Linked DNA regions of Oryzias latipes. The protein of the gene in region 1 purifies or fractionates together with the protein of each later gene. This does not show direct contact. Links are inferred from orthologs where the notes say so. Each region holds a gene or a part of one and is shown in the gene's direction. Other genes may lie near its edges.

Evidence for each region.
Region 2: the proteins of tyrosine-protein phosphatase non-receptor type 5 (region 1) and atp5po purify together in Homo sapiens (affinity purification with mass spectrometry; 3 studies listed by BioGRID and IntAct, with this or other methods). This does not show direct contact. The link is inferred for Oryzias latipes from reciprocal best matches to the Homo sapiens genes PTPN5 and ATP5PO.

What each region holds. Positions count from the first base shown.
Region 1 is NC_019864.2:31,277,793-31,280,767, reverse strand, and holds part of tyrosine-protein phosphatase non-receptor type 5, read left to right. Parts: intron 1-1,758; coding exon 1,759-1,919; intron 1,920-2,151; coding exon 2,152-2,265; intron 2,266-2,853; coding exon 2,854-2,947; 3' UTR 2,948-2,975. UniProt on the Homo sapiens protein: May regulate the activity of several effector molecules involved in synaptic plasticity and neuronal cell survival, including MAPKs, Src family kinases and NMDA receptors.
Region 2 is NC_019868.2:17,462,027-17,466,427, reverse strand, and holds the start of atp5po (ATP synthase subunit O, mitochondrial), read left to right. Parts: upstream 1-1,344; 5' UTR 1,345-1,401; coding exon 1,402-1,428; intron 1,429-1,717; coding exon 1,718-1,768; intron 1,769-1,861; coding exon 1,862-1,972; intron 1,973-2,191; coding exon 2,192-2,321; intron 2,322-4,401. UniProt on the Homo sapiens protein: Subunit OSCP, of the mitochondrial membrane ATP synthase complex (F(1)F(0) ATP synthase or Complex V) that produces ATP from ADP in the presence of a proton gradient across the membrane which is generated by electron transport complexes of the respiratory chain.

The sequences.
Region 1 (2,975 bases):
TGAGTTTCACTGTTTCTGATAACCAGAAATGAAGAGAAAATCGAAACAAATGTGTTTTTGACAGCAGTAAGAAAAGACAAGGGGCTGTGTGTATTAGCACAAAGGTCAAAGGGTAGAAATCACAAATAAAACAGATTTGATGTGTTGTGGAGTTCAAGGAAATTTGTTTTTCTGCTTACTTTTGTGTAAAAACAAAAAAAACTTAGGGAAAATCTATCCATCCTTTAATTCATCCACCCATCCATTCATCCATCCTTTTATCCATTCCTTCATCCATCCCTTCATCCCTTCATCCATCCATCCATTCATTCATCCATCCATCCATCCATTCCTTTCATCCATCCATTCATGTATCTATTCATCCATCCATTCATCCATCTATTCATCCATCCAGCCACCCACCCATCCATGCATCCACCTATCCATTCATTCATCCATCCTTTTATCCATTCGTTCATCCATCCATCCATCCATTCCTTTCTTCCATCCCTTCATCCCTTCATCCATCCATCCATTCATCCATCTATTCATCCATCCATCCACCCATCCATCCATCCATCCATCCATCCATCCATCCATCCATCCAGCCATCCATCCATGCATCCACCTATCCATTCATTCATCCATCAATCATCCATCTGTCCATCCGTCCATCCATTCCTTTCTTCCATCCCTTCATCCCTTCATCCATCCATCCATTCATCCATCCATCCATTCATCCATCTATTCATCCATCCATCCATCCATCCATCCATCCATCCACCCATCCATCCATCCATTCATCCATCCATCCATCCATCCATCCATCCATCCATCCATCCATCCATCCATCCATCCATGCATCCACCTATCCATTCCTTTCTTCCATCCCTTCATCCCTTCATCCATCCATCCATTCCTTTCATCCATCCATCCTTCCATCCATTTTCATCCCTTCCTCCAAAGCTAGCAGCAGTCTAAGTAAGTTACTTCCTCCAGCTCCTCTGGGGAATCCCGAGGCGTTCCCAGCTGAGAGTCGTGGTTTCTCCGGTGTGTCCTGGGTGTCCCCGTGTCTCTGCCTGGTGGGACATGCTAAAGCTCATTTCATTTTGTTTGCTTTTTTTTAGTGTGTTGCTTTACTCTTTGTGAAGAACTAACGGCCCTCTTTGATTCATTTGAGGTTGTCTACTTGAATTTTAAAAAATGATTTTTGCTCTTAGAGGACATGGACATATTTGGCAAAACTGCAATAGAAACACTTTTTTCTAACTAAATGAGTCGTGTGGCCAACAGCTCTGCACATCTGATCTCTTAACATCCTGTGTCTTCCATGCATTGAACTGAGACACACACAGACAGAAATGTGAATATATCTGCTTTTTTGACATTTTGTAGAATTTGGGTAAAGTTTTGCACATTTGCGTCATGCAAACACAGCTATTGACATTGAACTGGAGACGGCTCACATGGACTGGATCTGTGTGGGATCCTCGTTTAGATGTGCTCCGAGCTGAAAGCTTGTTGTTTGTTTATCTGTAGTACTGATAATTACAGGCAGCCCCTCAGGGAATTGTGGGAACTGATAGATTTGTACACGGCTCTGAAAAGGAAAGAATACGCTGAAAGCTTTTTTTTTATCTGTATTAACTGTTGTCATGGTAATGTGAAGCCCATTGTGACAACTGTGGTGTAATACTGGGCTACATCAGTGAGCCGTGTGGTTCAACATAGAGAATGACTCGTCTTCACTCACAGTACCTTTGTCTGTCTGCGGGTCAGTGTGGGGAGGAGCAGCGCCGTCTGAAGCAGTACTGGTACACCTCCTGGCCTGACCAGAAGACCCCAGACAAAGCCCCACCCCTTCTGGAGCTGGTACAGGAAGTGGAACGAGCCAGAGAGGAAGCCCCGCCCTCCAGTGGCCCAATCATTGTCCACTGCAGGTAAATGCGTTTAAGTCTGAAGCCTTTTCCATGAACGTCAGTGTCACAGAAAGAATGAAGCGGCTGACGGAGAGACGCTCAGAGAAAATCTCATTTCTGCAGACTCTGCAGCCAAAAATAAAAAAGACAAGAAAGAAAAGGTGTTGAGCATCAACATCCCACCGTTTGGCCACCCTATTAAAAATATTCTAGACACGGTCCTGATTCTGGCCTCCACTCTTGGCTTTTTCAGTGCTGGGATTGGTCGAACAGGCTGCTTCATCGCCACCTCCATCCTGTGCAAACAGCTGAGGACTGAGGGCGTGGTCGACATCCTGAGGACCACCTGCCAGCTCCGTCTGGACAGGTGAAATCCTTATTGCTCATTTTTGTTCATAAATGACTACATTTCACATTTCAAACTGCTATTCTCTTTTTAGAAAATAATTTATTTGAATAAGCCAGTAAAGTTCAGAACATGCTATAACCCTTGTGCTATCCTATGGGGTCCAGATGACCCCCCCCACCCTTCCATTGACGTGTTCTCCCTACCATGACAAAGGTGGATAAAGGTGGAAAGATTTCATGTAATCCATAGACACCAGTGAAGATCACAAATCATTGAAGAAAAAAGGTTCAGAGCACTGTCTAGTGGGTCTAGATGACCCACCTCCCAACGTTAAAGTGCCTGGATAGCAAAAGGGTTAATGTAAAACATCTGTATAATTTCTTTTCATATTAGATCACACCTCTGAACAGAACCGGCTTTTCTAAACTCTAAAACATGAGCCACACCTAAAAACCTCTTGTCTGATGTCATGTATCTGTGCTTCCTCTGCAAATCTTTCGAAACCAATTGAAATGTTTGGACAAACGTTGAAGAAGCTGAATTGTCTGACACATGATTGGCTGTGAGCTGAGACCCTGATTTGCCGGCCTGTGCTGTGTCCTTCAGGGGCGGGATGATCCAAACCTGTGAGCAGTACCAGTTTGTGCATCACGTCCTCAGCCTGTATGAGAAGCAGCTCTCCTGCACCGCCGAGGAGTAGTAGGGGGGCGCCACGGCTGCACCCACAC
Region 2 (4,401 bases), on another chromosome or scaffold:
ACCTAAAAAAATGTCTGAAGTGAGAAATGCATTTCATCTTCAAGTCACAAGTGCGAAGATTGAGGTCAAATCACAAAATTATTTTAGATTTCTCATCAATTCTAATTTTTGATGGGAAATTATTAACATGTTGTTTCATATACTGTCTACTAGTTTCGTTACAGTGATATAACGTTGCCCTAAAGAACAGAAATTTTGACATTTTAAAATTGTGCTTTTATTTTTTGAGGTGAACTGGGCCCCACTTCCGCCCTCCCGAATGCACTACTGTGAATTTGATGTGCAGACAGTTAATTATTGATGTCTTAATAAACTTAAACTTTTGAGTATTTTCACTTGTGCCAGGTTAATATCTACACATGGACTCCTATAACTACCAATTTTTTTTCTATTCAAGGAGTACATTAAAGAAAAGGTCGTATTACCAATATCTATAGGATTATTGCAAAATAACTCATTACAAAACCTCAAACAAAACCTGTTAACACTTTAAAAAATGTCATTGAAAACTTTTAGAGTTTTAGGAATAGGATTTTATTTGACAACGTTTCAAACTACTTCTAAGCCTCTTATCAAAGTTGTTCACTAAGTCTGTATTTGTCTCCATCTAGTGATAAGACAAGGGACAAGACAGAGGATCGATTTATTCCATAATTGTACTAAAGTAAAGTACGTATAATACAGTGTAAAAAAGGGGAGGGGGTGGAATTAGTAGCGACAACAGGGTATTAACAGAGGTCACGAGAAAACAAAAAAATGTGCAGAGGCAATGACTAGTTTGGTCTTTCACAATCAATTTACTCATGTGAACTCTTGATCATCAGTTAAAAATAGAAAACACACACAAGAATGCAACATATTTAAACTAAAGTAAAAGGTCAGATACTCATTTTATTGACGTTTGCTCAAAGCTTTTAAACAATTACATGTTCTTCTCCCTTTTACTCAAATATTTAGTCATGTTTCCTAAATGGCAGACTTGATGTCTTATCTGTAAAGTGTCCTCAGCATTACACTTCTGTTAAAAAATGTTTTTTTCCCTAGCATGGGAAGCAGAAAGTCAAAAAGGTATTATAAGGAAAATCTTAAAACAAGTAAAAAATGAGGGCTTGGTTTAAAAAAAAAAGGCATGTGTCTTTTAAACTGAAATGTTTAGTTGTTTGCACAATGTAAACTTTTATCCTCAATAAAGACATTTACGTATGGTTTAATAAAGTATTAATGTTTCTGAATTAATATGGTTTACAATTTTAAACACATGGTAGAGCTGTATTTCGGCTTACTTGTATAAATGCGCCTGTCAAAAAATAACCCACTAATAAACTACAGTTCCCACAAAAAGCTTCTTTTCTGATGCACATGCGCAGTTTTTTGGTCTACCTTGGACAGCTGTAGGAGAAAATGGCAGCGTTCATGCTAGGACAGCAGGTACGACATTCGAAACTAAACGCATATTTTAAAGCTTTTTACTCGCTAAACTCAAGGCTTTATTGGGAATTAAGCGTTTGGTAACATTTATTTTTAGTTTAGTTGACTAAAAGATAGCACTAAATGTTGAAAAAGAAAGCAGTCGATCCGTTGCTCTTGAATGACTGCTAACCTGTTAGCCTAGCTAGCTTCGTTTGTCGTGCGACGAATGCGGATTTTGTGCATCAACGTTTACTTTATTTTGCGTTTTGAATGAAGCTATTATTTTTGTTTGTTTGTTTGTTTGTAGGCTCGCCAGCTCAGCACATCTGTGATCAGACCTGTTGCAAAGCTGGTTAGGGTAAGTGCCGACACTCCTCCTTGGTGTTTTACCAATCATTCGTGAATAGTTCGGGTTCTTCATTTGACCTGGTTAATGTATATTCTCTTTCAGCCTCCCATCCAGATCTATGGAGTGGAGGGCCGCTATGCCACTGCTTTGTTCTCTGCCGCCAGCAAGCAGAACAAACTGGACCAAGTTGAACAGGAGTTGGGGAAAGTGTCTGTGAGTTCAGACAAATATTTGTAATGACAAATGTCTGGATCTGATGTATTTTTTTGTAGTGCCTCAAGACAGCATTGTTTGTGAATTGGTGGCTCTCAAAAAACTGATTTGTGTTTAAGATTTACTTTAAGATTGAATGGATTTAAATGTGATGTGCATTTTTAAAATGTCTAATTTGTCAAAATATCAACGTTTGGCGTGTCTAATTTTTTTTTTCAGGTCCTGATCAAGGACCCCAAGACGGCTGGTATTGTATTGAACCCACATGTCAAGCGCAGCATCAAACAGAAAGTCTTCAGTGATTCTCTTGCAAAGGCTAAGCTCTCCCCTTTAACTGTCAATCTCATCAGTAAGTATTCATTGAGGATGAATGGATTGTTTCTTATTTTTTCATTAAGACAATAATAAAACAAAGACATATCAACCAGCCTAAATTGCAGGAATGTTGCATAATGCCATGGTGAAACTTTGTATTTTAATGATTAAAATCTCACCGTATTGGATACAAGCAATAGATGTAGAAGTATAAAGGACCAGTTATTGGAAACATTTCCTCTCACTAAATATGTTAAGTTTATGTGAGTTTTTGCTGTTGTAAAGTTTGGAAAAAAATATTTAAGAAACCATATGATATATTTTTGCTTAGACAAATATTCAGACTCAATTTTCTTTGTGAAATAAGAACATTTGTGTTGTTTGTATGCTCTGCATCCTGTTTTGTGTTACTGCTATTGTAAAAGTGCCCAATTCCAAGTCTCAAGGGGCTTTTCTAGGCCCTTTTTTCTCTCTACGTTTTCCTACTTGGTATTAGCTAAACATTTAGAATCCAGACTGTTGGCTCTAGTTAAAGCTAGGGTAACAAAATGAGACTTAGGACACTGTCTTTTAAAGACTGGGGTTGATATGGCATATTGACTGTAGACATTTAGCTAAATATTAAATGGTCAAATTAGAGACAGGTTTACTAGAGTGTCACTTTATTTTGCAAATTAGACAGAAAGTTGTTTACGACAAAAAACTGAAGCCGAGTAGTTTCACAACTTTTGGTGTTAAACTATTACTTGAAAATTAAAGTTTGGATTAACTTGGATTTCAATGATTATTTGAGTTTAACTACAGCTTCATTTATGCAGTTATAAAGTTTTAAACCAACATCTGGGTTTAAAAATTGCTAAAATTACCTGATCAGGACTTTAAAGACAACACATATTAGGATATGTCAACAAATTTTCTAAAGCTCTTCTAGACTTCATATCACTTTTGTTATTATGTCATTACTTATAGATGTTGTCATTTTGGTCCATGACCCTGTAGAGCAGGGGTGGGCAAACTACGGCCCACATGATGGATTTGTTCCGCCTCCATGATTGGTCCTGCCCACTGAACAATATCAGAGACCCATGTTTTTTTTTTTTTTTATCTGGCCACATGATCAAGACCCGCATAGAACGTGACATTTTATTCCCCCCCCCTCTGTGCTCCAACCTGAAACCCTCTAAAATCCCTGTCAAACAGAACAGAAGACAGTCCTTTCTGCGGCGCAGTTCACCTTTCCCGGATCAGCTCATTCTTTTAGTTAGATGGTAGATGACTATATTAATCCCACTATGGGGAAGTTCCTTTATCTGGCAGCAAAACGACATTCAGAAATGATCTATATAATTTAACATAAAAAAATCAGATCTTTGTTTTCATTCTAAGATCCTGGCCCTAATTTCTATGAAGGTTTGAGAATTTAAACAGTGAAGTGTGAAAATGTTCATGTCTGTCGGATAAAAGTGTGTTTAGGCAGTGAGTTTTACTGCCATAAAACTTCTGTAAATAATCAGACTCTGTGGATTTCACCGATCACAGGTGGTTTTTTAGAACTCAACTCCAGCAATAAACAAGGAAACTCTGTACTGGTGAAAAGGTAACGCAGATATATGCGTAGCTGCAGCAGAAGACATAGAAATTTGCGTTTTTCATTATTACTGGATGAGAAACAGACGCGCCGTGACGCAGCGCAGCTGCTCAGTTTTAGCGCAAACTGTGAGACGTTTGAGGAGCTGCAGCCCTCAAAGTCTCAGCGGGCGAAGATGGGAGAGGATCCACTATTTGTTTTTTCTTTTTAATAAATCTGTATATTTTTTCCCGACTTTTTGTCTTTGAAAATCAGTTATTTGGTCATTTTTGATTTCATAAATAGTGTTATTTATTTTATTGAAAGGATAATGAATCAGTAAAACTATATTATGGGGCTTTAAAATAAAATAAAAATAAAAGAAGTTTAAAGTTTTAAAAGACTCATTGTGGCCCTCACAAGAAAAGGTTTGTGGACTCTGCTCTAGCATCCATGTGGTGTTTGAAGATTTGTTGTTTTTCATTCTTCCAATCATTCAAACACCACAAGAACGCACCATTTCTCTAAGTTTTACACGAGGTACATC